Struthio camelus: one gene and its partners. The protein of the gene in region 4 interacts with the protein of the main gene of each other region in a pairwise test. Links are inferred from orthologs where the notes say so. Each region holds a gene or a part of one and is shown on either strand. Other genes may lie near its edges. The genes, in order: KCTD6, FTH1, NECAB2 and SDCBP.

Evidence for each region.
Region 1: the proteins of SDCBP (region 4) and KCTD6 interact in binary tests that used the Homo sapiens proteins (3 or more experiments, as listed by UniProt). The two-hybrid records come from large-scale screens. The link is inferred for Struthio camelus from reciprocal best matches to the Homo sapiens genes SDCBP and KCTD6.
Region 2: the proteins of SDCBP (region 4) and FTH1 interact in a two-hybrid assay, tested with the Homo sapiens proteins (2 studies listed by BioGRID and IntAct). The two-hybrid records come from large-scale screens. The link is inferred for Struthio camelus from reciprocal best matches to the Homo sapiens genes SDCBP and FTH1.
Region 3: the proteins of SDCBP (region 4) and NECAB2 interact in binary tests that used the Homo sapiens proteins (3 or more experiments, as listed by UniProt). The two-hybrid records come from large-scale screens. The link is inferred for Struthio camelus from reciprocal best matches to the Homo sapiens genes SDCBP and NECAB2.

What each region holds. Positions count from the first base shown.
Region 1 is NC_090955.1:10,380,248-10,387,324, forward strand, and holds the start of KCTD6 (BTB/POZ domain-containing protein KCTD6), read left to right. Parts: upstream 1-3,928; 5' UTR 3,929-4,193; intron 4,194-4,345; exon of another isoform or gene 4,346-4,822; intron 4,823-5,732; exon of another isoform or gene 5,733-5,798; intron 5,799-6,492; 5' UTR 6,493-6,605; intron 6,606-6,614; exon of another isoform or gene 6,615-7,077. Other genes in the region: PDHB (pyruvate dehydrogenase E1 component subunit beta, mitochondrial), read right to left, coding at 230-371, 816-907, 1,524-1,634, 2,558-2,843, 2,940-2,975, 3,059-3,121, 3,194-3,301, 3,426-3,494 and 1 more. UniProt on the Homo sapiens protein: Probable substrate-specific adapter of a BCR (BTB-CUL3-RBX1) E3 ubiquitin-protein ligase complex mediating the ubiquitination and subsequent proteasomal degradation of target proteins.
Region 2 is NC_090946.1:7,331,757-7,338,885, reverse strand, and holds the start of FTH1 (ferritin heavy chain), read left to right. Parts: upstream 1-4,092; 5' UTR 4,093-4,301; coding exon 4,302-4,412; intron 4,413-6,167; coding exon 6,168-6,314; intron 6,315-7,129. UniProt on the Homo sapiens protein: Stores iron in a soluble, non-toxic, readily available form. Important for iron homeostasis. Has ferroxidase activity. Iron is taken up in the ferrous form and deposited as ferric hydroxides after oxidation. Also plays a role in delivery of iron to cells.
Region 3 is NC_090951.1:21,304,699-21,312,693, reverse strand, and holds the start of NECAB2 (N-terminal EF-hand calcium-binding protein 2), read right to left. Parts: upstream 3,094-7,995; 5' UTR 3,061-3,093; coding exon 2,872-3,060; intron 1-2,871. UniProt on the Homo sapiens protein: May act as a signaling scaffold protein that senses intracellular calcium.
Region 4 is NC_090943.1:135,811,514-135,818,590, forward strand, and holds the start of SDCBP (syntenin-1), read right to left. Parts: upstream 3,204-7,077; 5' UTR 3,065-3,203; intron 2,386-3,064; exon of another isoform or gene 2,363-2,385; intron 1-2,362. UniProt on the Homo sapiens protein: Multifunctional adapter protein involved in diverse array of functions including trafficking of transmembrane proteins, neuro and immunomodulation, exosome biogenesis, and tumorigenesis.

The DNA of each region.
Region 1 (7,077 bases), on a different chromosome or scaffold from region 4:
ATTATTCACAGCTGCTCTTCCATAGGCAAGATCCAGAGCAGCAGCAGACCAGCTTCTACCCTGTGACCATCTCTACAATGAGATGGCTAAGCTCCAGCTCCTCAGATAAAAGACCCCAACTTGACCTTATCTCATTATCTGCTCTTGGCTTTATCAAGCAGTTTATGAAAAAGTCATCAGGATTTAGACTTACAAATTAGATCAACAGGGATGTTGCAAAATTAAGTACCTTCCATGATCCTGGCACAGATTTCAGCTCCTACTCCAAACTGCGGCCAACCTCCTTCTACAGTTACAAGATGGTTTGTCTTTACAACGCTGGCTTCTATTGCTTCAATATCCATTGGTCGAATGCTACGCAGATTTATAACCTTAAAAGAAAGGGACTGAATCAGTTTTGCTATGATCTAAGCCTGTCAGTTACTACTGTTGGGTACCACGTCCTTTGTCACGTTCAGCTATTCTGACTTTGAGGATCAGACTTAAAAGTCAACAAAATTACAAACTTTTTATCCCAGCAGACTTTTTATGGAACTGTTTGTGATGGTTCCTGGAAAATCCCAGATAGATGAGTCTTGCTATATCTAGATCCAGCCATGCTGATTTATATAGTGTACTGTTCAGTGGACCTAGCTGTATGATAATAAGCAGAAGAGCTTTAAACATTAATTTTGTGATTAAAAGGTCAAATGCAGAAACACGAAACATGCTTGGTTCACTGATTATGAAGGCATTTACCAATGGGCCTGAACAAGACACGCTGCTTTTTTTCCAGTCCATGGAAAGGGGAAAGCAACAAAAAAATCCCTACACACCTCGCACTCTACACCTTCTTTGGCGAGTACAGCAGCGGCTTCCAAACAGTGTCCAACAGGTCTCGAGTGTGACACTAAAGTAACGTGAGTTCCTAGAACAGAAACGAGAGAGAGAGACTTAAACTTTTCCTCTAGCCCCCGTGCTCTTTTTAAGGTAATGTTAGGATTCTCTGGTAAATTTAAGTATTTAGCACTTAAAATAAATATAAGGAATTCTACAGCCACAGCGTGAAAAATGGCAGTGGAAGGACTATGTCAAGACACAAACTACACCCCTGAATTCAGGGACCTGAAGAGAGATCGAATATACTTCTTAGATTATTCCTTTTAAACCTTCAAGTAATTCAGTGTTAAATTATGAACAAGCTGAAAACCTACAGTGCTTTCCCTTGCATTTTTAGAAAAAAAACCCCAACAACTACTTTCTCAAGTGGAGAAAGAAGTTTTCCAGGCATTACCTAATCCATCCTTATAGAGAAAGGAAGTCTTTTGAAAGCAGGACAGCGGGACAAAGAATATCAAGTGATCTTACTTTATAAAGAGAACAGAAAAATACAGAGCCCATAGGATAAAATAACATTTAGCATTTGAAGTGTATTCCTGTTCCCTGTGAAAGTAGTGTTTTAAGTCGGTAAAAGTTTAAAAAAAAAAAAAATCTCCCCAAGCAGTTCAGTTAGTAAGAATATATTAACTGTGTTCTCAGCTTACCTTGCCTTTCTATTTTGGCTTTTCCAATTGGAACAACAAAATCCTTTGACTGTGCCTCTTCTGACAATTCAAAGGGAACACCATACAGCAGTTCATTCTCCAGCATCACAACTAGAACAAAACTTACTTGGATTATTTTGTAGTTCTACAGCACAGGCCTATACTGAGGATAATAGCACTAGAGCAGACTACCTCAACTAGGAGCTGAATATGTTTGTAGGGGGAGAAAAAAATCCCAGTTTTGACTTCACTACTGAATTATTTTAAATTTTAAATTAATTGATTAGAATTGGTCTTAAGCAGGACTGAGCATTTAGCTTGTGGTGCATAATGGTAATAGGTCTTAATACAAAATTTAAGGTCCTTAGAATTATTCTAAAAAAATCATGAGGATTGTGAATTAGGCAAACTAGGTTGATAAAGCTAACTGACGTACAAAGCCTCTGTTTTTTAAAAAAGATAATATTGTAAAGTTTATAGAACTGAATGTACAACTCCAACTAGATCAAATGAAAATGGGAGGGGTCATGGTCTAGAGACTGTTTTTGCAGAATTGCTAGTTTTAGAAAGGTCTTAGATTTTGCATGCATGCTTACGAGGAAGGAAAACTGAGGCTGCCCTGCTCTCAGAAAATGGCATGATATTCATAACATCTGAATTTCAAGATCTGTAAAAATGAGTTACGTACTCAGACACTATATATGCAGAACTCCTCCCTGACTGATTTTTATCCTCTTAAATTCCTTTATGACAGATTCCTAAATGTTTCTTCCCAGATTGGTACCGAATTAGGATTAAAGCACTAGCACAAAATTACAGTCTACTACTAGCAAGCCACATGATTCAGGAAAGTGTCAAGTATCAGAATCGATTCCTCTGTGCCTTTGCAAGTTACCTTAGAGTAAAGCAGTCCTAAGTGTTTTAGGGTTTTAAACTTTTTTTCTTTTTTTTTAAATGGGATGTGAGGGGAAACATGAAGAGACATTTTTTAAAAAAACTAATGCTAGCTGTTGCCATGATCTGAGTGTATTCACCTGGATTATCATCCCGGATTGATGCTTTAAGCAGACCTTTCGCATCTTCTGAGCTCCATGGACTAACAACTTTCAGTCCTGGACAGTGCCCATACCAAGCAGCAAAGCACTGCGAGTGCTGAGCAGCGACCCCAGCTGATGCCCCGTTGGGGCCCCTGAAGACGATGGGCACAGAGATCGATCCTGCAGACATGTAACAGGTCTTGGCAGCAGAGTTTATGACCTGATCAATTGCTTGCATGGAGAAGTTGAAAGTCATGAATTCACACACTGGCCTCAACCCAGCCTATTAAAGTCAGGATATATATTAGTGCCTTTTTACATAAAAAGAGCTTGTTTTAAAGAGTTTAATTCAGGAGTAAAGAAACTTAAATGTACAAACCATAGCAGCACCAACAGCAATTCCTGTGAAGCCCATCTTAAACAGAAAGAAACCAAGGGTAAGCCTTTGGGAGCAGCAGGCAGAAGGGCGAGCAGGGTAAGTGACAGGCGAAGCCGTACCTCCGATATCGGCGTGTCGATTATCCTCTTGTCCCCATACTTCTTCCAGAGGCCTCGGGAGATCTGCAGAGAGAGAGGAGAGAAGTCAGGGCCCGCAGGAGGGCCTCTCCCCGCCTCTTAGCTGCGGCCGCTCACCTTGTAAGCGCCATCGTACTGCGCCACCTCCTCGCCGAGCAGGAACACCCGCTCGTCCCGCTCCAGCTCCTCGTCCAGCGCCTGGTTCAGCGCGTCTCGCACCGTCACCTGCGGCACACGCACCCTAGCACAGCGGGGGCACCGCCCGCACCCCGGGGGGGGGTCACCCCTTCCTCCCCCTCCTCCTCCTCCTCCTCCTCCTCCCCGCCTCCCGCCGCCCCCCTCCCCGTACCTGCATGGCGGCCGGCGCCGAGAGCCGGATCCCCCTGCGCAGCTGCAGCAGCCGCCCGGCGGCGGGACCCTGCGGAGACAAGGGGGACGGTGAGAGCTGAGCGGCGGGCAAGGCGCGGCGGGGGCTGGGCCCGGCCCTACCTGCCGCCCGCCCGGCACCAGCCGCCGCAGCGCCCCCGCCGCCGCCGCCGCCATCTTGCCCGTGTCCTCTAGCGCCGAGGGGAGGGGGGGGGCAGGCCCGCGCGCCGCCAGTGACGTCGAGGCCCCGCCCCCTCGGCGCCCCGGCAACCGCCGCGCCCGCCCCGCGCTCTCGCGAGAACAGGGGCGCACCGCCCCTTCCGCTCCCCCGCGGCCGCCCGGCCCGTTGGGGCCAACCGCCGGCCCACCCTGCGTTTACGGGGCGGCGCAAGGGTCAAACTTGTGCGCGGGGGGGGGGGGCCGCCGGGACGGCTCCTGGCCCCACCGCCCCCTCCCTCGACCCGCCCCCTCCCTCCGCCCTGCCCCGAGCCGAAGCGCTCTGAGCGCTTTTACCCTCTCGCCCCACCGCCCCGCGGCCCCCGCTTGTGCCCAAGCTGCTTTCGCCCGCTTGCCCCAGCCGGGGGGCGGGGCCGCGAGAGGCGAGGGCGGGGCTTGCGGCGAGCCCCGCCCCTCCGCCCCGCCTCGCCCGCGGCGGCGGCTCAACTCCGGGCTCAACTCAGTCGTCCTCTCCCTGCCGCTGCCGCTGCCGCCGCCGCCGCCGGGCTCCGCCTCAGCGCTGGCAGCTGCGCCCGTGAGTGCCGCGCCGGCCGCCTGGGTCCTCGGGGGGGGGGGGCAGGACGCCTGGGCCCCGGGGCGGTGGGGCAGGCGCTGAGCGGGCTGTGGGCCCGGCTGGGGCAGGGGCCCGCCGTGCCGTCGGCCGGGGGGGGGGCCGGGGGCCGGGCCGCGGCCCGGCGGGAAGGAGGAAAGGCTGGGGCGGAAGGCGAGGAGCGCGGGTCTGTGTCTGGCGGCTGCTGTGCTGAATCACCCTCGTGTCGGCGGCAGTTTCGCTGCCGCAGTCTCGCCGTGATGGAAGGTGGCACTTCCCAGGCTCCTCCTGTGCAGGCCCGGGCCCCTCTCAGGGAGGGAGGGAGGGAGGTGCCACCATCCTGCCCTGGCTGCTGGGGCCCCGCGCTTGGTCCGGCCCTGGTGCGCAGGGGAGCTCTGCCTCTCCGACAGCTGCCCTGCCCCGGGGCCGTTTGGAGCCGCGGCCCCCCGAGCAAGCACCTGCGAGTGGATGTTCCACGGAAGCAGAAGCACACGGCTGCACCCCGCCCCGTTGTGGCGGGCGGCGAGGAGCGCGCTGGCGCGGCGGGTTTCAGCAGCGCGGGGCCGGCAGGGACGGGCCCGATACGGGTCTCTTCTCTTGGCCCTCGTCGTGAGGTGAGGGCGAAGCGGTGGCGTGGCGTGGGCTTTTCAAGGAACGAGCGGTTACGAGGAAAGTTTGGGAGCTGGACCTGAAACAGGATGTTGTGGAGCTCCTCAGCGGAGGGAAGAAAACTTTGGGAGCTTGGAGTTTGTAGTGAAGCAATTAGACATAAGGCAATGAAATGCCGAGTGGCTAGCGCGAGCGTTTTATTCTTCTGCCTGAGTTGAGGTGTAAGTATACTAAAAAGAAACTAAGGAAAAACAAGATTACATTAGTTTATAATGAACTGCCTTAGTCATTATAAGTTTGATGTGTTTAGAAGGCGATGGGTGCCTCCTTGAGTGAAGCAAATCTGTTGAATTACCAGAGCAGTTGGTAACTTGTTTTAAGACAACATGTCCTCCTCGCTCTTTCTCGGCTAAGGCAGTGTGGTGCTGTATCATCATGGTCTCGCTCTATAGACTGTGGTCTCACTGCACGGTTTTGTGGAGTAGAGTCATTGCTTGTTCTAGTTTAGTTTTTGTCAGTTCACGTGTCTCTGTGATAAGAGATTTACCGTAAAAACTCTCCTGTCAAACTCTGTAACTGGATCAGGAGCAGGGAGATTGTTCACAGATGTAACGTAACTGTGCTCAGAGCTGGAGTTCTGGTTCTCATCCTTGGAGATCTAAATGTCAGAGACAAGGATCTCACTGAGTGGGTGTGAGTAGCTTCAAAGACTGAGTATGTTTATCTGTACAAGTACAGAGCTAGCTTTGCTCCTTTTAATTTTTTAAGTTGCTGTTTGTGCAATTCCTGTCAACTTTGTCTCGACCTAGAAATCGAAGATGCCTACTGAGGTTAAACAGTTTGTCCTACAACACTGGTACCAAATCGTCCATTGAAGACTAGAACTAAAAGCGAGTCTTTTAATTCCTTTGTTAGAAAACCTGGATGAAAAACATTTAGAGCAGACCAGGTGGTGCCTGCCTCTTGACTTCTAAGCATTAGGTATATTTCTACTCCTCCTCCATGTAACTGCATGTGATAAAAATGCTGTCATTTTCTCCAGGAGCAGTGTGATAACCTATTCCCTTGACCCAATGCAGTATACACAGTGCTAGCAGCAAAAAGGCTTGGCGATGCCGCTGGCTTCCCCTGGGTCTGAGTTGGACCCACGTGTGTGTTTTCACAGATGCAGACCTTCAGCTGACTCTCACTTGCTTTTTCTGAATCTCAGCCTGCAAAATGGTTGCATGCTAGTAGCTGTCTTCATGGGAGAAGCCTTAATCAAGTTAATGGGACTACTGTTGCAGTAATGTTGCTAGTAAATAGCCTTGTAATCCTCTGAGTCATAAAATATTAAATAAGACTGAGAGTTCTATAAATGCAGGTCCCCCATTCAGTATATTGAGCATGACACGATGACTTGAGGGCTTTTCATCAAAGGCGCTTGCCTCTCGTTGTTACTTTCTAGTTTTGGATGCGCTCAATGCTGCGATAAAATGAGATGACCGTATTAACACTGTCTTATCTTCTCCTCACCCCCTAAAAGAGCTTAAGGAAAGTAGGACTGTGGTTTGACTCAGTCAGTGCACTTCTGCTCTCACCAAAGAGCAATATTCTGTTTGGCTTATATGGTGTCAGCAGTTTACCTGGCTAAATTTCATCTCAAATGAATATTTCTTATGATTATTAAACACAGGCTGTGTTGGGATACGCGTGCGTCTCGTCTCTTCTTTGCTGTCTGGACGCAGGCTGGCCTCCTTAGATCATCTGTTTGCGTTGTGCGTCTCGCTGCGATGCTAGCTTTGCCAGGTACGTCTGTGCGTGTCTAGTGATTCTGGACTCTTATACAAAGATCAATGAGGCTTCTAGATGCCACTTATTTATTGAAGGCTGGGGTTGTTTCAGCTAATTGTTCTCATAAATTATTTGCTCCAGTGTTATGCAGTGATGCTGTGATCAAACATTAGCTCCTGTCTTCATACTGACAGGCAGATGTAATTTGTTTCTTTTCCTGAATGATAACTGATAAAGAACGTCTTGACTGATCTGTACTGGGGACTCAGATGCTGGCCAAAATAGCACAGTATTCATCCAATCATTTAAATAACTCTGATGGATATCCGTCTTTCAAATACTCTGAATGTAATTTCTAGTTAACTTAATATTAAGACTGCAGCTCTATTCGCTTATGATAATCAGTGGAATTTCTGGATGGCTGCATTGTTTTACCTTCAAGCGAATGTTTTACATGAACACCAGAAACCTACTCCAGTCTCTCTCA
Region 2 (7,129 bases), on a different chromosome or scaffold from region 4:
AAAGTTTGTGTTGCTTTCTGCTCAGTTTTTAGGTCTGTGGTCGTTCTAGCCACCACGGTCTAAATTAACGTGGACGAAGAAAGCATTTTAAAGCAAGAGAGGAAGTTCCAGTTAAAAGCAGCGTTTGAGACAGCTGCTAGTACATAATGTTTCCTAAAGCAATGGTGATGCAGTAACTCAATTGGAGCAGGACTGAGACCACGCTTGGACTTTCAGAAAATTTTTGTGCCCTTGCCACTTCCTGGGGACGGCTGCTGTGCAGAAGATGAGCTGAGAGCGCTCATCCCGACTATATCAGCACAAATCTGGCTTCCATTTTTACAAGTTCAGAGTTTGCTTTCTGCAAATGTTGTCCAGCATCTGTTTAAAAATCATGTTTTCAGCCCACAGTCAGACCACTGCCAGAATTTGGATAGGTCATGTACGAGGAGGGCCCAGGTAGAGTCAGGATGAATTACATCTAAAGTAGATTTAGCAGTCACGGAAACTTTCCCTTTTTCACAGCTTTTCCTAGGTCTTACCCTGTGCAAAGTCTGTGCCACCTTCAAGTGCTCTTGCTGCATGGTGCTATGCACAGCTCTGTCTGCCCAAGTACGTATCGTGTCCTCTTCAGAAACGACCCTGAGCTCCCAAACTAACAGCCGGTTACTCTCGGCCCCTGTCTGGGGCTCTCGCTCTTTCTGCTACCGCAACACCCAGTGCTGAGAGGTGTGTGCAAACAGAGCCTTGGTGGTTTTTTTCTGCATCTAGGTATATCCTGAGCAATGTCAACCAGTTCTCGGACTTAATAATCTCCTGTATGTCTATGCAAACATTCATCAGAGAAGCTGAGGTTATTTTGCACACTTAAAATGATCTCTCCAGCTGTCATGTGAGGAAGCTAAGCGTTACTGTCCCTGAAATGCCTAGTGTTCAGGTCTGTGCTCTACACGTAATAGCTGAGCTGTAAACAAGGGAGCTGGCTCCATTGTTTCTGATGGGATCTCGGCCAAAGGAAAACAGAGATCGCCTTCAACAATTTGGAGCCCCTGTAGGCGGACAATGCGTTGACTTTTGCCTGTGGGCAGCACGAAGCATGCCTCTACTCCAGCCCGACCGAGCAGCAGCGCCAGCCTCTAGAAGCAGCTGAGAGTGGACATGAATTCAAAGTAAGGCTGCGGGTGCAGACTGCTGAGAGGATAGATCAGGCCCTGCGCAGCTGCGACGTTTGTGTGGGAAAGCGTACTGAAAGAACTAGTTGGGACTACCAGTCTCTTTTTTCCTGTATACACTGAGATCTTTAATCTTTTGGATTTGAACGAGAAAAGCCAGGATCCCCCACTAATTCTGAACAGTTTAATGAATAACGCTCAGGGGTTGTAATTAACTAGTAGCTACCGAAAGTAGTAGGGGACGAGACTAGGGTGCAAAACATTGTCAGATGTAGGGAATGATCTTGCAGTTGCAGAACGTGAATGTTATTTGATGTGAGGTCCAGCCTGACTACGATGATGCTTCTAGCAGGCTTCTTCCGAGGAACGCTCATAAATACATCCTTCAGGTAGAAAGGCTCAACCCAAGCCATAGTAGAACAGTATGGAACAAAGTCCAAGTTAAACACAATGTGACAGTAGTTTGGGGGAAGTCAACAAGTGAACAATCATCAGAAAAGGTCCTTGTCAAAGCTAACGCTAAAGTCTCGTAGGACCAGACGCTCTTCATGTTGGTCACCAAGCTATTATGAGGCATGGCCGTACCACCCGACGTGTCCTGTTCTGGCCAGGCGTGCTTTGCGTCGTTGAAGACAGCGTGTATGTTTGTGCAGTGCAATCGATCCAGAAAGCAGAACGTAGGACATTCCTCGTCTTCCTGACGTTTAGCCATGGCTGGCGCTGACTGTCCAAATGACAGAGGAAACGTTCCTTTTATTGATGGACTGCTCGCTCAACCGCTTATAAACTGTGCTGTTGCACAGCCTTTCATAAAACAGCGTAGTGAGGATTTATGTGGGCTTGACCATGACGAGATTGAAAAAACCAAACAGCAATAGCTTGCAATTTGTAAGCCACCAGGCAACTTCCTTCTGAGAGTTCCCGTGCGCCTTTGTCAATCACAGACAAAAAAGTTAAGTGGGAAGCAAACACAAACATAATTTAATTAAGAAATGGTTTAGTGCTTTACAGTTTCAGTATTAGTCTTGCTAGAATACTGAAACATACTTTTTCAATGAACTGCCAGTACAGAGGCCTGCCTGAGATCTGCCCAGCAGTTACTTCTTTTTTTTTTTTTTTTTAAATTTTATTTACATAAGCTTCTAGTTGGGAGGGGAACATAAGATTTCAAGTGAGAAGTACCCGGCAGCCTGCCAAAGCAATAGGTATAATCCACCTTAAGTTATATATCTAATTGCTTTTGATGCTTAACTGACAGAAGCAACGAAAACCAGTAAAGCAGAGGAAGACATGGGCTGCCTGTTTCCTTAGGACATTCAGGAACGCCTCTAAAACTGCCTTTGTGCTGACACAGGTCCCGCGCAGCTCTTCCCACGCAAGCGCACCCCTGTGCAGTCGCCCGTGGGAAATCACGCGTCACCGGGAAGAGCTGTTCAAAGACTGAATAAACATGGAAAGAACTGGTTAGAAGAAGAAATGGCATTTAATTATTGACAGTCCAGTGAGTAGTGTTGCCAATACCTGGGCTATTTCTGCTGAATTTCAACATCAGCTGTTGTTGTTAGTAAAGACCGAAGTTTTGGCAGCCCAGTGTTATCTCAATTTCCCTTTAAGTGGGCCATCTCTAGCCCTCCACGTTGCACTTACAATCAAGAGCCTGCTTGAATCTAGGAAATTCTGGAAAAAAAAAAATCTCAGAAACTAAAAGAACCCAGTGTTTATTGAAAATAAATGACCGCACAAACTGAATGATCATGGTAATACTGAAAGGAGCTAAAATAATGATCCTATTATCAGGTGGCTCAGTGTGTTCCTTTTGACCTTTGATTTCTCAGTTGCCTCTTTATTATTTGGCATTGTGTTTTAACTGGCTGTAGGCTCCTCTCCCAGGTCTCACCCTCATGCAAATCAAGCATCTGAGGGCCGATGCTTGGCCTGCTTCCTCCTCCTCCAAAAAAAAATAAAAATAAAAAAAAAACCCACTCAGCAATGATTGCTGCGGGTGCCCGTTGATAACTTTGAACCACCTTGAAGGGTGATGGCATCTTTCACCAGTATTTGTTCTTTCTTCCGTTGGGTTGGCTCGTTAAGGCTAACCAAGGACTTTGCCCTTTACCTAATGGTTTCTTACGTTCCTTCGGAGCAGTTTTAGGCCGCTGTCCAAAGTAGGGCACGGTCACCGAAGAAAGAAGTCTGGAAACTTCTCAGGTCTAGCCATTGACTCGCCTTCTGTTTTACTGCTGTGACAAGCCTAAGCTGCCCGCTGCCATTGACAACCAGCTGGACTTTATAATAAAATCTTTTCCAGTACAAATTACCACCTTCAGAATAAGCTGGGTGGGGGGGGCGGGAGGGAAGGAACCCGCCATAAACTGACTTCTTTCCTTCCAGCCCATTTTTGTTCCCCTCCATGCCGGCGTGTATTTATGTACCCAGTGAAAAGTTGTCCTCAGCCTTTCGGTTTTGAGCGAGCTTTCCACCTCCATTTCGGCAGTCACCCTGTCCCAGGGAGGGGAACGACGCGGTAACACCCGTGAGGTGGGACAGCCCGTCCTGCCTGGCGGTTTAGGCCACGGAGCCAAAAATAGCACCGGGACCGCAGCGTTTTGGGCCTTTCACGGGTTTCGGGGGGCCGAGGTGACGCTACTGAGGGGCGACCCTCGGCCTGCGCCCCCCCCCCTACTGCCGGGAGCCCGCCCTGAGGGAAACCGCCACCCCCCTCCCCCCCCCCGCCACAGGGCGGGCGGCCCACAGGGCTGTCGCCCCCCGCGGCCGTTGCACGACCGTTGCCCGAGCCGCGAGGCAGCGGGCCCCGCCCACCGCGGCGCGAGGTGGTGGGGGGAGGGCGGGGAGGGGAGGGGAGCAGGGGAGGTGCTGAGTCACGCCGGGCCAGCAGAACGGCGGCGCGCGGAGGGAGAGGGGCGGGGCTGCGGCGGGGGGCGGGGCGTCTTAGTGCCGCCCCTGCCTCCCCCAGCTCCTGGGGGCGCGTGCGTCGCGGCGCGAGGGGGGGGCGGGGCCTGGCGCGCGAGATGACGCGCGCGGGCGCTATAAAAGGGGGGCGCGGGGGGCAGCGGCGGTTCAGACGCGCCGGCGAGGCTTGAGCGGAGCGGGTTCCTGCGTCAACAGTGCTTGGACGGAACCGGCCGCGCCATGGCTACGCCCCCTTCCCAAGTGCGCCAGAACTACCACCAGGACTGCGAGGCGGCCATCAACCGCCAGATCAACCTGGAGCTCTACGCCTCCTACGTGTACCTCAGCATGGTGAGCGGCGGGGCAGGGGGCTGAGGGCCGGCCCGGCGGGGGCCCTCTGTGAGAGGAAGGGGGGAGGGGCCCTGCGAGAGGGGTTGGGCCCGCCCGTGGCCTTCGGGCCTGCCGGGTGTGGGGCCTCCCCCGAGGATGGGAGCGGGGGTGGGGGGGGAAGGCCGTTGCGTGCGGGATCCCCGCTCCGTGCGATACCCGCCGTGGGCCAGGCGTTGCGCCCCTTTTTTTGTCCGGGGGAGGCCGAGCCGGGCCCGGCCAGCGTTGGGTGCCCGCCGCCGTGGCGGGTGTGTGGTGATGTCGCACCCTCCTGCGGCAAGAGGCGGTGGCCGAGGCGGGGGGTGGTGGGGGGGGAAATCTCCGTGGCCGCCCGCCCGAGTGGGGGGGTCGCGGTGCGCCGGGCGGCGCTTCCCCGGGGCGTGCCCCGGCGCTCTGGGGGCCGGCTGGCTGCCTGCGCGTGTGGTGCGTTGTTTGGGGTGTGTGTGGTTTTTTTTTGGTGCCCTTATCTCTGCGGCGAGCTTCGGTTGCGCGTTAACCGCTCTCTGTTGGTCGCCCTTGGCTGACCTGTTATCAGCACAGGTCAGCCGCTGCCAAGCGGCTCTGCCCTTGGGGCTGGGCTGGATAGCGAGGGCTGCCTAACGAAGAGATTGGCACCTGTCCCACAGGCGCCCTCCTCCGAGGCACGGTTTTGCATTCGTAGTTTTGGAGTGAATTAGTAGGAAGCCATGGTTTCCTTGGAGCTGTACTTGCATGTCTCACTTGGTGCGAGACTCCAGTTTTAGCCATAGCTGAGAGAAATAACTTTGAGTCCAAACAGCAGCTCTGACCTCTGTGCAGCAATCTCGAGTCACCTGCTCATCTAAAGCACTGACACTTCCTAGTGATGCTGCAGCATGTTAGGGCATTCAGGTGAATAACTTCCCTGCTTGCTTGGTTCTGTGTTACTGTGAAGGTCAGACCCTCAGCTGCAAGCTGAATGTAACTGTGTTGGTGGGTGATAGTGGTACACAGGCACCAGTGTCTCTCCCTGAAGCTCCTACGCCGCTGGTCTAATGGTGGTGAATTCTGTGGCAGTTAGTCTTGTAAATAACTGGCAGCTGATACAAAGCTTTCCATTGAATCCTGCCCAATGGCTTTGACCAAAAAAAAACAAACAAGCTGTGTGGTGGCTTCTGACTGCTGGTACAGATGCTTTTTGACTTGAAGATTTGTCTGGTATTTGCTGTTTAACTCTGGCGAAATACATGTTCAACTATCTTTTCAAAGTGCTGCTAGCTTTCTTCAGAAGTAAAAAGGGAATTTCTCAGTCTGTTGCCTCATAAGCCCGATGAGGCATGGGAACCTTATCCCAGAAGTATCTTAAAGGCCACCTTTAGCTTGTGTTGAAGAATCCTAACTCTGACTCATGGTCACTGTTGAACACAAACAAAGGGAGCAGGGGGAATCTCTCCTTGTAGAAGAGGAACTTGGTAGCGCTACACTTAATTTGCTGTGTTGAGGCATTTGAATGGTGCTCAGAACAGGCATCTTTGGTCCCCTTCTGAATATACTTAAGAAAAGTTTGTCTCCATTTCCTCAGTAAGCAAGTTTTGCCGCAGTCCCTTGCTGTCATCACACTGCTGCTACCTTTAGTTTGGACTCCAGCCATCTTGATAAAGGGCTGGTAGGAGGCATATCTGAAACTGCAGTACTGACTTGGGCTTGTGTGGCTGCTGTAGTGAGGGTTTGGTTTTTTAGCATGTGAATTTTTCTTTTCAGTCCTACTATTTTGACCGTGATGATGTGGCTCTAAAGAACTTCGCTAAGTACTTTCTGCACCAGTCCCATGAGGAACGTGAGCATGCTGAGAAACTGATGAAGCTGCAAAATCAGAGAGGCGGGCGCATCTTCTTGCAGGACATCAAGGTGAGAGAAATAGAGCTGTGGGTGTTTCAGGACTGTAGCACAGAGCTAGACTTGAGGTCTGTCTTCAGGCTGGAAGGAGAGGAATCCCCCAGAGGATCCTCTTGCTGGAAAACACTAACAGTAACTAAGAATACTGAATTGCTGGGATTGGTGTGCAGTGTTTGAGCTGCTCAAAATCTAGAGATGCTAAACAAAAAAAGGGGCTTTCCTGTAAGAAGAGGTGCATACACCTAACCCTGCAGCAGTTTGCCCCCCCCCCCCCCCGGGGGGGGAGGGAGGAGCAGGGAAGAAGGAAGGGGGAAGGTAACTGTAACACACTACTTGCCTTGTTCTTGCCAATGACTTCAAGATAGGGCCTTCTCGGTTCACTAGACTGTTGTGTAGAGACAATGCTCTTTACTTCATGTTCCCATGGCAAGAGAGTCATATTAAGCTTCCAGTTTCTTGCTATGGCTTATTGCAAGACTTCATGGCACTGTTTCCTTGAAGTCACTTTAATTAGATTATTTAGAACAGCAGAAAGTAATGTTATATTGTTATGCAAGACTTAACTCTTCGTGGGGAAAATGGCAGAGTGAGTTGACAGACGTTTTCAGCAGAATCCTTTTGCTAGAAGTGAGTATTTGTAAAGACCAGACTTCCCTGTTCTGGTGTATAACCTGCTTTATTTCTGAGATTGTACCCATTGCCTACCTAGGTAGGTTGATGTTTAGGCTGTTAGCTTTTGATGGGAGGAGGAGGGCAGTAGTTCTGACTTAACTACAGGAGTTCACTAAACTGAATTTGAGGAGATTTTTAAGGGAATGTGGACAGAC
Region 3 (7,995 bases), on a different chromosome or scaffold from region 4:
AGCGTAAGTCACGGCTGGCCAGGTAAGGCCAGCCGCGAGGCGAGCCACGGGCAGGGGAGCCAGCTAGGGAACGACCCTTCGGGCCCTGCTGGAGGAGGGAAGAGATGCTCCCGGGTCACGATCGGACTTTCTCAGCAAAGGACAAAGCAGATCAAACACAAAGGTGCATCTGACCGGAAACGGATAGTACCGCTTTTCTAAGGGGCTTGTAAAACAAAGACGGCAAGCGATAGCCACGAGACGCTGTATCGCCGCTGACGAAGCCGGAGACACAGGAGGCACGCGCATCCCTCGCTCAGCCCCAAGCCCTTCAGGCGTTTTGCCCGACACTGCAACAGCTGCTCCGGAAACGCAGACTGACGTTGTCAAGATTGCCAGAGGGAAACACCCCCCACCGCTGCTTGCCCTACCGCCACCAGCTATAACCCCCAATAACTTTACTTGCTGCCTATTTTAGGGAGTGCTTAGTACTTAGGTGTCTTCTCCATCAGTTTATTACTTGAGGTTTCAAAAAGTTAGTCTGCAATTTCAGCTGTTTTTACACACCGAATCCCATGATTGAGCTGCGCTAATAAACATTACTCAGTTTTTTCCTCTTTTTCTAATCCTTTACCTAAAAGGACACAAGCACAAAGAAGAAAAACACTGAAAAAAATAGCCTTAAGCTCAGTTTCATCCTCCAGGCAGCAGCATGCACGTGGATGGTAGACACCGTCTAACTCCCGGTCCCGTTTCACTCTTCCTCAGCCCTCGGTTTTGCTACACAACAGCCACCGGTTTGCTCCGCTGGTGGGAGAGCGCAGGGTAGGAGACCTGCTACCAACCCGTCAGTCAGGCTCTGCCTCTCCCCCTTTCCCTGCTCCGTGTCCGCACCGCGCTCCTGTCCCAGGGCGCCCCGATCAAGGCTGACACCACGCACAGTGCGGTCCCTCCACCTAAAGGACCTGAAGGAGTTGGACGGGAAAATGCGCTTGAATCCTCAGGGGTGAGAACGCGAGTCTCGATACCTTCCTGTTAATGCGTGAAAGTTCACCTAAATGCACGCTCCCCCCCGCTGATAAATTCTTTGCATTAAAGGCTGGTCTCATAGTGCACATGAAGAGCCCGGTATAATAAAGCCGTGGCTTAGATTTTCTATTATAACTAGAGAGAAGAAAGGAAGAAGAGAGAAGCAAGTTTTCAGGGGAAAGAAACCCCAAACCTCACATTTCCAACATCTATTTCTACTTTCAGCAGGTCGGAAAGGGCTCTAAGTCCCATCGTAGAAGGGGAAAAGGGTCGGGAGCTGCACACCCAGATCCATTGCATTTCCCAATGGGGAAGAAAATTCTGAAAGTTCGCTGTTCATTTTCTTAGCTCAAACCTCAAAGAAGGAAAAAAAAAATCCTTTTAAAGAAGGTAAAGTTGAGCAGATAAGATACTGTCCTGGTAGAAAGAACAACCCTAACTCACAAAGTTTTTGAATGAGCCAAATTGTTGACTTCCAATTGTATTTATGCTCTCAAGACAGACACCAGCAATCTTAGGGCAGGCTGCTGTTAGACTACATGAAAACGCAGGGGAAAACAAAAACCCAAAGAAAGAGCAAAGTTAACTTAAAAACCATAAGTGCAATCGTTACTTTTGTCTTTTTCGTTGCTCCATCAAGCACCATTTCTTTACTGCCCGCAGCAGCCTGCCTGCCGGTCCCGTTGCGCAGGGCACGGCCACCCAAGGGTCGCTCTGCTCTCCAAGCTGCTTTTGGCAGCTCGATAAGACGCAGCCAGACCAGTTCATCTGACGCACCGTAACGCCTGTGAGTCCAGGACTGTGAGTTTTGGACTCCCCAGCCCATCTCTGCCAATGCCAACCACAGAAAGTGCCACACTTCAGCAGGCTGTTTAGAAAACGCAAGGGTTTGCCTGCAAGAGATACTGTTGCCTAATGCTCGAGCAGGAGGAAGAGAGTGCGAGTTATCCTTTACTACAACCAACACCATCAGTAGCTTATTTTTGAATTCACTACATCGCTTTTTTTTTTTTTAAGCTAGAAGATTGCAAAACGGAGGATGTGCATGTTTAACTATTAGATGCTACTGACAGAAAGACTATGGAATTGCATCATGTGCACTCCGGTTTATCCCAGCCCATTCTCCTAATTCCACGTAAGGACAAATAGCCTCGTTAGCCCCCTGATTTGAGAGGTCTATGAATAACCACAGCTGAGGAACCAAGTGCACCCCCGCCCGTCCCCCAAACCCGAGTAAGGGATCCCCCAATCTGATGCGTTCACAGGCATCCGGGACTGCGTTGCCTGCCTCCCCCGACACGGTCCCCAGAGCCGCAGCCCCCCCAGGGGGCCGGGGTCCTAGATCTGGGTGCGCTCCCACAGCCAGCTGCTGTGGGGTGCAGGACCGGAGGCAATGCAGGACCCGGGTGCACCGTGGTGCCCAGCCAGCCCGGGGGATCCCGGCGTGTAAGACCAGCGAGGGGAGGGTGCAGGAACAAGACCCAGGGTGCATCCCCATTCCCAGGCTGCCTGAGCAACACCAGGTGGGGGCAGGACCAGTGTGCACCCCCCCCCCCCCCCCGCCCCGTGCCTAGCCGGTCCGCGGACACGCAGGACCTGGAAAACGGGATGCAGGGCTCGGAGCGCACCTCCATCTCCAGCCTGTCTGGGGGGATGGAGGGCTCGGGGAGGGCGCACCCCTACGCGACGCAGCACCCGAGGTGCACCGCCAGCGGGACGCAGCACGGGGGGAAGCCCCACGCCCGGCCAGCAGCACCTGGGAAGCACCCCCATCCGCAGCCGGCCCGGAGCGGGGCGGGGGACGGGACACGCAGGACCCGGGCGGCCGCCCGCCTCGGCGCAGCCGGCGCGGGGCTCACTCACATCGAGGATGACCGAGGTGCCCTTCCTCTGCGCGGCGGCCGGCTGCGGCAGCTGGCGCTCGGCGCCCTTGTCGCTCATCTTGGCGGCGACCCAGCGGAGCAGCCCGTCGAGCCCGCGCGGCGGCGGCGGCGCCTTGCGCAGCAGCCTGTGCACGCCGGCCCGGCAGTAGCGCGCTGCCTGCTCGCACATCGCTCAGCCCGGCCTCATGCCGGAGCCGGGGACTCCCCCCCCCCCTCCTCCTCCTCCTCCTCCTCCGCCTCCTCCTCTTGGCCACGCCGCCCCGACGGCGGGCGGCGGGCGGGCACCCCCGGGGCACTCCTGGGCCCCCTCTAGGCGTGCCCCAAGGACGGGTTGGTTTTTTTTTTTTTTTTTTGGGGGGGGGGGGATGGATGAAATCGTTTCACGTGCTCTGTGTGTGCCCCCCCCCCCCCCCACCCTGCACCCGCAGACGGGGTGCCTGCTTCGGGTTTAGATCCAAAAATGCCCCGAAGCTTCAAAACTGAGAGCCTGCTGCAAAAAATATAAATTAAAAAAAAAAAAGGGGGGGGGGAATGGGGCTGGCTTGGTTTGGAGAGCTCTCCAATTTCTTGTTCAGTTGCTATTAAGAGTGCAAGCGAGCATTACAGCTGAATCCAGTGACCTCTTTTATAGCACATTAATGCAGCGCTTGAAACCTGTTTGCCAGGTGAAGCTGGCCCGTGCCAGGCACAAACGCAGCACGCTCGCCAGACCCTCTCCGGGCTGCTCCCGGGGCCCCTGCGAGCAGGGGGGCCAGCGAGCCCGGCGCTCCTCCGGGAAACACCATCGGCAGTTTCCCGCACCGAGCTCCGCGCCCCGTCTCCCAAGAGGTACGGCATCGTTGCTCCGAAAGGCCTGATCCACCACGGCCTAAGAGAGAAAGCCAGCAACAAATGACTTGTTAGAAGGTATATACCAGATTGTGCCCCCTCATGTCCCGAATTACTCCACTCTTTTTGGCACTTAATCCTCAGACTATTCATATGCTTCTTTCCCCTTTAGACGTCCCTCTGCTAAATGGCTAATTCAGACTATGATTCACACACAGGCTAGGATTGCTCTATGCTTAAGTTACTTAGGACAATTTACTGACTAAATTTATAAGTGAGGTTCTTCTGTGAACTTTCCACGTGCTATGAAAATTCGTTATGCAGCTTGGAAGTTTGGAGCTACTTCGGTGTTGTCAAAATTATTTCTTACTAATATGAAAAACAGCTCTACCTCATTTAAATACTCTCAGTAGCTCCCAGTAGAGCCAGCGAGATGCTGAGAGCTCATTTCCAAGCCTCGCTGGCCGTACCGTTACGGGTCTGCGTTACCCTGCCAGCTCCAGAGCTCTGGCCAGGGCTGTAATACTTTCTCCCCATTCCTGCAGCACTGACTAAGCTTCTGCAGCCAAGGGCAAGGCCACAGGACATGTAGTACCAGCACGAGAGCTGAGAGCAGTCTAGAGCCCTAGCGGCGTTTGGTTTTCCATGCCGCTTTGCTAGTGGGGAACTCAAATCCTGGCTGACAGCAGTAACGGCAAACTGCAACAGAAAAGCCGTTTCAAGGCACCGGCTGTAGTTTTCTCCTCCTTGACATTTAACCATCCACCTCCCCTTGCTGCGCTAACCTGGCACACGTGTGGCTCCAGTTTGCTGCAGCTTTATCACTAGTTAAAGGCTCGTCAGTACAGGATTGGCAAAGTTAGACCTATCCTCCCTCATTCCCAGTTCCAAGTTCAAGAACCTCCAAGAACTCCCCCGAAAAGGCTATTGCCTTTCCCGTTCCACATCCGCCGTGGGCCCAGCAAAACCTTTCCTCTGAGGTGCACCTGGTGCTCAGTACACAGCATTTGCAGCTAGAAGTTTTCTTGGTTTCCCGGTGTGTCACCACCATCACCGTTTGGTCTACGCGCCCTAAGGTAACGCTTATCTGGGTGCTACAGCCAATGCTTTCCAGCAGCTTCTGGAAACCCTAATCACATGCTGCCATTTCAAATAACAGGCCACCTAAAGAACCCGATAGCTTTCGTAAGAAGAAAGGTCCAAGCCAGATCAGAAGACCCACCAGCATCACCACCCGGCGGGCAGAGAAAGCCACTTTCATCTCCCTTTTGAATCACGCTTCTCACCACCGCCACCCCAAACACGCACGCAGCGGGGAGCTTCATTTAATTAAAAACCTCCAGCAGGCAGGGCCTGCAGTCCCACTTAGCACAAAATGTCAGATGGGACTTACTAATATTTACTAACGACCAACAGAGTGAGTTGAACCCAGCTGTTCAGTCGCAGGGAGAGGAAACGGCGAGACGGGCAAGAACGGGGCAGCGCAACCTCACCCTCCCGGGCAGGGGCCAGCCCAGAGGCTGAAAGGCTGTTTCAGCCCCTGCATTAGTTTATGCCAAGGCTCTTTGCTGTAATGCAACAAGTAATCAGCAGGGATTTTATAACAAATTTTACACCTCGGCTCAAAAACGCCAGGCTGTCAGCAGCGCCCACCGAACGCACTGGTCCAAACTGAAGGAAGAGACGTGGCGCGATCGTGCACGTGCACAACATGTATGCCCACCTCTAAAAACACACGACGACGTCCTTTGCAAAGCACACCGTGCCGCTGGCCCTCACCGCGGGCTTTCGTGGCAGCGGCAGAGCCCGGAGCCGCAGCAGCGCGTCCTTGGGCTGGGACCTGTAGGGAGGCGCCGCGGGCCCCGGAGTCACAGATTTCCAACCCAGGTGCTGTCTTAAAGGCAGGGACAGGAGCACGTATAAAGCTTCAAACGCACCTCTTCATGTAGCGTCAGCATCACAGCGCTGGGCCAACTCTTGCCTTAAGATGCATTTTGACCTTAAACTCAACTAGAGCCGTGCTCCAACCAAGGTTAAGCCGGTGAGCAAAAAGCCCCCGCTAAACTCTCTTTTGCACAAACATCCCTTCCCGCGACAGGCTGACGGCAGCCGTTCTGACCCCAAAGGGCTGGGTGCACCCCCCAGAGGTGGGGACATCAGCGGGAGGCTGAGCACAGCGCAGCAGCGGTGCTGCCCCAGCTTCGCCAACAGAAACGCTCTGCACCAAGCACACAATAAAGCACGGTTCCTGCACCTGTAGCAGATCCTACTGCTCCTACCCCCCCCAATTTCCCCACAGCTCCAGGAAGGTTTTCCAGAGTAGTATGGGGGGGGGGGGGGAGAAGAAAAAAAATTAAGATCCCACCAAGTGCCCCCCACACAGAGCTAGAGCAGGGCTGCAGGGCAGCCCCAAGCCCCCACCGGGGCCACCCAGTGACAGCCACCACCATTTAGCAGAAACTTTGAAAAAAACAGACCATGTGGTTGCTTTGGGGCTAGCGCAAGGTGCAGGGAAGCAGGGGAACAACATCACAAACAAGCAGCAGCAGACAAGTGGGTCACTAGCAAGAAGACACCTCCAGGGATGAACCTCTCCACTGCAGCACCACAGCTGATGAGTGACTTTATGGCAGGGGGAGTTAAGGGGATGATGTTACACAGCTGGGTTGTCCTGGCAATTGAGGAAAGGAGCACTTCACACCGAAACCCCTACACCCTTACTTAAAGTTACAGGCAGCCGGCTTGATAGGGCTTGCGCTTGGGCCGTCCTAGAGAAGAGATAACTCTAATCCCTCTTATTTAAGGGACCGTTCCTCGATAAACCCACGGAAACGTTGCTCCCCTTCAACGCGCGACCCGGGTCAGAAGTGTTAAGGAGCCACGGCGTAAGCGAGTCCGCTTCTGATGATCTTCTGAAACTGCCCTCGGTTTCTCACGCTCGGTGCGCCTCGTGTCGGATCGTACGTGATAGTATGAAAAGTGCAGAAATAAGGAACTGCAGCCCGCAGGGTTTTACAGTTACGGGAGCCTGAGTGTGCACGTGAGCGTGCTTAAACAACCAGCTGAGTTATTGCACCTAAATAAATTGTTGCCTGCTTGTAAGTGACCTCATGTGTCCTCGTGTGTTACTGCAACGTAAAACGGTTAATTTGCACCATTTTGATGGAAAAACGGTGTCTGCAAATGGGTTGAAAGGAGCACTATCAAGCTGCTTTGAAGCAAAAGGGGAGAGGGAAAGGCATTTCTTCCGTTGCTGGTGCCCATCACAAGTCACTTCTGAAGTAATTTCCTCCCACCGTGAAAGACAACAGCTCATCTCTTCTTGCAGTCGGGCAGCTGAGGCTCAGCTTCCCCAGCACCTGCTAACAAGAAGCTTCAGGTAGCTCAAGGCATTTGCTCATGTGTATAAATATGCAGCAGCCTTACGGGCTTGATAAGTGAGGGTAAGCCCTTGGGAAGAGCAGCCCTGGAGACCCCAGGGCTGTCTGTTAAGCAGCACGTGGGGTTTCGGAGCTGCTGCGTTGGCAGAGTTAGTCCAGCCCACGGCACTGCGCTGGCCGGAGCTGGGCTTCCAGCACGCCAAGAGCCAGCGCCACTGTGAACAGGTCCACGCAGAAGAGGATGGGGCTGCAAGAACCGTCTGCGCCCAAGAGAGCAAAAGTGGTGCCTCCCTCTTTTTGCTGATATTCAGTTTTAGTATCGCCTACTCTTTCCTGCTCTGGTCTGTGCCAGCTGCTGTTCGGAGCGAAACGCCCCAAGAGGCTGTTTGCAGCCTCCAGTGGAGGAGCAGTATGGATTTTTCAACTTGTCTTGTGGCACCCCAGCCATGACAAAAGCCTTCATCCCTCACTACAGGGAGGAATTTCTGGCATTTCCTTCCTCACGCCTGACTTTTGGCTCCACAGGCTTGATCCCTGGTCACTCTACTCCTGTACATGACGCAGGGGTGTCAGATAGTTTCACGCTTGCACTGGCATTTGCTGTACTCTCGTGCCACGCAGGGGCTTGCCTTTCTTCTGCAATAATTTAGCCCAATATTCCTGTTGCTCCTGAGAAGCAGACACTAGCCGGAAAGCGATGCCCTCCAGCCACGCGCTCCGAGCAGAGCCAGCCCTAACCTGGGCCGGGGCAGAGGGCAGGGCTAATCCTTAAAAGACCATGAGCTGCATTACAGCTCACTGGGGCAGAATGAAAGACCTTAAGGTAAGTGAGAATAAGGTCTTATGTCCTTAAGGTAAGTGAGAATAAGGTCGTATGTCCATAAGAAAGACCTCCC
Region 4 (7,077 bases):
CATGTCAGACTGCAATCAGAACATGAAAAAGTGCCAAAAATCTGACAGAGATACTGATTTGATAAACTGTGCACACATGGCCTGTTATGCTGTACGAGCTAATCGTGACTGATGCCTTTGTCAAACTGTTGAAACTAAACCAAACACAAAGAGCTTCCAGGTCTCAACTATAAATTAAGCACTCGCTTTAAACTGTTTTTTGGTTTTGTTTTTTTTTTTTTTTTAATTCTGTTTTAAGCCAGCGTTGACATGAAACGGTCACTTGTTTTGACTCATCCAAAACAGATAACAGCAAGTGCAAGCCCAAGTCCAATGAAACCGTCACTCGGGTAAGCAGTCCTCCAGACTTGGCATTCTGCTGCCGCTATCTCTAAAACCATCCACAACACCAGACACACAATTACTTCTAAGCTACATCTGTGCTAGCAAATTTAAACTACAGGTTCAAGCACTGACACAGTCTTTCAAAATTAGCATAGTCCCTGGCACTGCGAAGGCTTGCTCCCCACGGATGGCAAAGTCACCCTGCTTTAGGGTGATGAGGGAAGGGAAGGGAAAGAGTTCTGCTCAGAGTGAGCTAACGACTTCATATGCTAGGCAGAGAACAGCACAAGGTCTGTTGAGTTGTGGTCCCAGTTTCCACAATCTAGTTACATCTCCTCCTCCATCAGCTTTAATTTTTCCTCCACGTGCCACTTTCACTCCACACTGCGATTCCTGGTCATGTTTGTCACAGAGGGCCATATCTTTTTCTAATTTACCAAGAGGAGCGTGGTACTTCCTGTAGGAGAGCACTACCAAAGCTAAACCTGCATTTGTTCTCTGATCATTTAAGAAAATATTCCAGGAGTTTATCCTGCTGTTTTACAGTCATATAGGCCACCTTGTCTCCTCTGCTGGAAGTTCGCAAAATACAAGCATTCGTCAACATTACTGAGGAGCTGCTCTTAGCTTCCTGGCTATAATCTTAATGGTTACTATAAGTGAGTTTCTAAATAAATAGCTAGAATAACTGTCACCACTGTAATTACATTTAGTGAGTATGTATCTTTGTTGCTTTTATGTCAAAAAGGAGTATTTTCCATTTCTGCACCAGCAGTTTTAACACTTAACTTCCTTTAGCTAATTACAGGTCACATACGTATTTAAGACGACAAAAAACAGTGTATTTAGTTTAGAATGTAACCATTTGATAGCCATTTTCACCATAAGAGACCACCAGTAATCTTGGGAACAATCTGTCTATGACTTGTACCTCATGTTATCCACAGTATAAATAAGAGTTTAAACAGACCCTGAAACAGCCTTAGACAGAAGCTAGCAAAGGGAGCTACCACAAAAAAGGAGTCATTAGCTTCCTTTCCTCTCAAAAATCTACAGTTATTTGCCTTGATCTATAGAATCATTTGCTTTGATCATTCATACACTCCTAAATCTTGTAAAGAACACACGTAGTAACCTAGAAAGCGTAGAAAAGCAGAAGTGAAAACAGAAAAGAGTGGAGCAGAAAGGATGGAGTCTTAATTCAGCTAGCAATCCCACAAAACTCTTCCGCAAAGCCTTCTCCACTTTTCTGTGCATCTTTGGCTTGGAAATGCTGCTACGCAGCAGTAAGCACTTCTGACTAAGTAGGTCTTATTTACTAAAGGAGAGTAACCAATCACCGGCCTGAGGAACCCATGGAAATACAGCACTCGTGATATCCTTACGCTATCAGCAGGAAGTTTTAGAGGCAGAAGTAATCTCTAACACAACAAAGTGGCATAGCTGGAAGCAGACAGGCTTTCAGACGCATTTTCCAGGTCTGAAATGACAAAGCTAAATGCAGTTTAAGAACCGAACTTTGAGGCTGACCAGCATGTAGCAACTGCCATCTCTGAAAGGAGCAGCAGCCAGCAGGACTTGGGGGAAAGGGGGGGGGGGGGGCCCACGGGGAGAAGGAGGCATTTTATGTGTTTTATGACTATGGTATATGGAGAAATTACTGCAGGCTGTAAAACTGGTACCTCTATTAAGCACTGGCTTTGACTTCCAGAATAGCTAGAAACCAATGAACTATAAATTCATCTTTAAAGGAGAGACAGGACAAAACAGCCTGAAGGTCAGGCAGAGTACATCAGGAATAGGGCAGATTGTCTTGCAAGACATGTTCTCCACGAACAACCGAGGTTTGTTTGTTTTTCCCCCCCTTCTGATACATGTCTGATTAGCTTTAGAGCAGTGGCTCTCATTTTGCACTTAGCCCCAAAATCTGCTGCCTCCACTTCCAACCCGAAGAAAGGCTCCCCAGAAAGACATCCATTCCACCCCCAAAACAATACTAAATCGGTCTAAAAAGAAGGCGTTACAAGCACCTACAAACCTTCCCACGAACGCACTGGAGCTAGCGGAGAGAGAAAGGTCTTACAAGGAGCCTGAACGAGGAGCCAGAAACCACCCCCCAAAAACGAGCCTGGCTCGTAACAAAGAATCAAAACCACCCCTGGAGCCTGATTCACAGGCCGCCCGAAGCCAGAGCGGGCCAGCACACACGCAGCCGGTTCGCTCTTGGCTTTCAGCGCCGGCAGGACGAGCGGGGGCGCTTCTAACGCGGCGGCGGCGCAGCAACAGGCGGCGGCGGCTCCCTCCGAGCCGGGCCGCGGCGGAGGCCGCCCCGGCCGCGGCGCGACATGGCGGTGCGGCGGCGCCCCGCCGCTGAGGTGGCGAGGGGAGGGGAGAGGGGAAGGGACGCGCCGCTTCCACAGGCGGAAAAACGAAATCGCTTCTCGGCTCTCGGCAGAGCCGACTCTCCCCGGCGGCGCCGGTGGTCCGAGGCGGCCGCGCTGCCCCCCGCCCAGCCCCTCCACGGCGTCGCCATGGTGCCGGCGGCGCCGCTTCGCCTCCGGCGGGAGCCGTTAGCGCTGCTGCCGCCGCCGCCGCGAGCCCCCACCCGCCCCCGCGGCCGGCCGGGCCGAGCCGAGGCGAAACGGCGCCGCCCCGGGCCCCGCACACACAGGGCAACCGGGGTGGGGAGAGGGGGAAGAAGTCCGGTGGCGGTCGCAGGCCGACAGCCCCCTCCTCTTACCTCAACCCAGGCCGTTCGCGGAGGGACCTCAACGCACGGAGGGAGAGCGGCGGCGGTGGCAAGAGCAGCAGATCCCGGCGTCGCCGCTATGAGGGGCGAGGGGGCGGTGGAAAAACTGGGCCGGCACCGCGCATGCTCCGGCGGCGGGAGCCCATGACACGGCGGCAGGGCGGGGCCGGGCGGAGCCCGGGGGCAGCGGGCGGCCGGGCCGGGCCGGGCGGAGCCGGGGGGCAGCGGCCGCTGACGCTGACGCGGGTCAGGGCGGCCGGGTCGCGGCTGGACTGCGGGGCTGCCCCGAGAGACGGGCTCGGGCTGCCGCCTTTCCTATCAATTCCCCCCCCCCCCTTTTTTTTTAAATAAAATGTATTCTATATGCTTTATATCATTACTGATTGTTTGGGGTTAGTCCTTGCTTTTTTTTTTTTTTTTACTTTTTTTCCTCCTCTTTGTATATTTACAGCTTTCAGCGGTGCAGAGGGCCCTGCGCTCTCGTCGCCTCAGGTGCGGCTTAGCACCCTACCTCGGCCTTCTCCGACCGGGAGACAAGGCACGTCTCTTAGGGGAACACCCTAGAGAAATCACGATTTAAAATACACTAGTTACAGGAAAATTCCACTACAAACTAGGAGAGTGGCTCTTATACTTGACTACTGTAGTTATTGCGCTTTTACCTTATTTGTAGCGTTAACTTCTCCAGCATCAATTGGCAGTCTTCTAGATCCTTCTTTGCAAGACTACCTGTGGTCAAAAAGTTTGTTCCGCATGGCGGGAACTATTCTGATCACCCCAGAGTTTCCCCTGGGGTAGGAAACGGCAGGGTTCGGGGAGCTGGTCGGACCGTACGCTGGCCCTGAGGAAGCAGCTCTTGCTCTGGCTTCCAGGCTCTTTCCCCTGTCCTGCAGCTCCCAACTGACCCCGAGCCACTTCCAACCACTGCCCAGTGCTTTTGCAGGGCAGTTCAACTCACTGATGCAGCAGAAATTGAATCCCCGAAAGACGTGAATGTTTTTCCTCTGGGCTAGTGAGCTAAGCTGGCAACGAAAGGATCCCACAAGCTCTGGTGCCAGGGCAGGGGAAGGGAGGGTGTTGCTGGAAACAGGAGAAAAGAGGAGGAAGAGGAAGGAAAGGGAAGGTCCCTCTCTTTTAAACAGCAGCAAGCTGTTACGTCATTTTCCACTGCCTAGGAAATTACAACTGTATTTAAACAGATTTTGTTATAATACATATTTTTCAGCCCTCCTAAGCTTTTTGGATCTCTCCCGTTGTCAGCATCTTTGGTGAGCATCACAGGGCTGCATCGTGTTCTGGCAGCAGTCACAGCAGCGCTGAATTTGGAGATACAGCCTCTGTCCAACCACTCAGAAGGTTTCTGGTTTTATATCGAATTATTAGCCAGGTCTGCCACCTTCCTAAGTACCTTAACCTTTGACTACTGAGTCATGCAACTACAGATCACTAGATATATTTATAAGTGCAATTTCGGGCCTACAGTATGAGTTCACAAAAATTCTGTTAGGTACCTTTTGGGCAGGGAGAGAGAGAGGGAGGGAATCTAGCTCTGGCTTAATAGGGACAGATAATTATTGCTTTTGTAGTGCTAAATTTTCTCTGTAGTCAAAAATGATTTTTAATATAAATGAAAGACTTAAAAGTGTGTATGCTCAGAATGAGAGTGTAGCTTTTCATCCCACGGTGAGCTCGGTGGGGGTGAAGCCCTGTGCCCAGCCTGGGTAGTGGTGGTCATCAAGAGCATGGTAGTGTCCGTAAAGCATGGAAATAGCAGACGTGTGATTGACTGAAGCACTTAACACGACTGTGCATTGTCCACATGGCGCAACCCTGCTGAACATTGGTGCTGACAGCTGAGGGGCAACATCTTATTTCATTTTGACTTCGAATGCCCTTCTTGTTCCAGAGGCACTGCTCCTTTCTCCAGAAAGCTAGGTTTTTATTTGCCTTTTGCTGCATTACTTTATCCCTTGTCATGATCTTTTGAGACATTCACTATCAAGGTAGCAGCATTTGTCTGTAGATGTCAGACCTGCGTTGTCAATGCACATGTCTTGATTTTACCCAAGAGGCTGTAATAGAACATGCTTTTATATATATTTTATGTTTATATGTTTATTTATTTATAATATATATAATATATATTCTATGTAATTTTATATAACATATTATCTATATCTCAAATATATTTATGAATAAATATATATAAGAATAAATATATATAACATTTATATTTTATTTATAATGAGGTTCTAGCCGAAACACTGGACTCCATACAGTCTGTTATTTGTTGGGCTTAGTTTGTGTGCACTATTAAAAACACACAATATAAAAATAAGCAAAGACCGATCACAGGCCAGTAGCTCCGTATGGTAATGGAAGTGAATTTCATTACCTTCATCTCCGAACATATCGTGAAACCCAACTTACTCAAGGTTTTAAAGAAGAATGCTATGAAGATGCAGCCTTGCTTAAGACTACTACAGTCTTGAATAGAGACTACTACAGTTTTGAACTGAGAAAGATTAACCTTGTTATACTGAAAAACATTCTTAAAATCATTGTTCATTTAAATATAGAAATGAAACACAGCAAAACACAAATATAATTATTAGGAAAAGGCTCTGTCTAATCTGTGCAGCGAATGCACCATTTGACATGTGTCAGGGTCTTGATTCTTTGAATGCAGAGACCAAAGGGTCCCACTGTCCAAAAAGTCTGAGTTTCCTTCCCAGGGAAGCTGAGACACGGAAGGGGATGGCATGTTCCTCAATCTCTTTGTGAGGTGAACTCAAAATCTGGGACAAAGAAAACACTTTCGTGCTCCAGAATTAAGACGTTGGCAGCAGAAGGGCGTGGTTGTGCCTTTCTATGAACTCTGTGGCGATTGGGGAGCTCTAAAGAATCGGAGCTAAAACACTTACACAAGCAGCTCTCGATTAGTTCCTGAAGTATTTGCAGAAAGCATTCCAAGATTACCTATTGTTTGAGAGAAGTGGAACAAATGGCAAAGTTATCAGATTTTACTCACTGACATTAGAACACCCATGGGCAATTACGTGGTAATTTTCCAATTGTCAGTATGCTGTTATTTTTTTTACTAGTCGTATGCCAACTTTCAAAAAATAATAGAAACCACCAGATCAGTATCAGTGTTAGCAGCTGCAAAACTCTTAATAAAATAATACATGCTAATCACTCCAAAATTCACATTTCTCCTTTGAAGCTGGAAGTAAATTGTGCTTGTGTTCCTTAGGAAGCTCTCCACCCCTGCAACAATGAGATGTTATAAATGGTCACTCAAAACATGTACAAACTGTGCAAGAGAGCACCCTGGCAGTACTAGGAGTGGAATAACTGTATTAAAGAGGTTCTTTGCCTCTAATTAGAGTGTGTTGGAGTGAGTTAACTGATCCTGCTCTCAGCTGTGTGCAAAGAAAATCCTAACGTACTGTTTGTGTTTCTCGAACAAAGCAGCTCTGAGCCCTTTTAAGTAGCTCCCTGGTGCTGCATTGCACTGGGCACTGAGACACTTCTAGAATTTGTGAAGAATTTTTGGAGTTTGCGCGTAGAAAAAAGAATTCCAGAGCGAAAAAAAACCTGTCATACAGAATAAATTACGTTAAAAGAGCTTCACCCAAGTCAAACATTTAACATTAGAAACTAACAGAATTAAAATTGCCTGAGTCACTTTGTTTCTGACTCCCTGTTCATGCGTCAAAGATCTAGTCTTTTTAATACAGTAGAACATATTATTTCCACTCTCTTCTCATCAGCCCGTGGAATGGATGGTGCTCAGTGAATGTACAATTTTCCAGTGTTCAATTTGCAGTTCCGTACCTGATTTCCTGCCTGCTATTCAAACTCCGCTGTAAAGATGGCAATATTAATGTTGTCACAGTCTTCTGAGTAACACTCCAATGTCTGACTGCTGTGCAAGCAATTATTAATATTTTTTCTACTGTGTTTCCCAAAATATTAACATATTTCCCAAAATATTAATA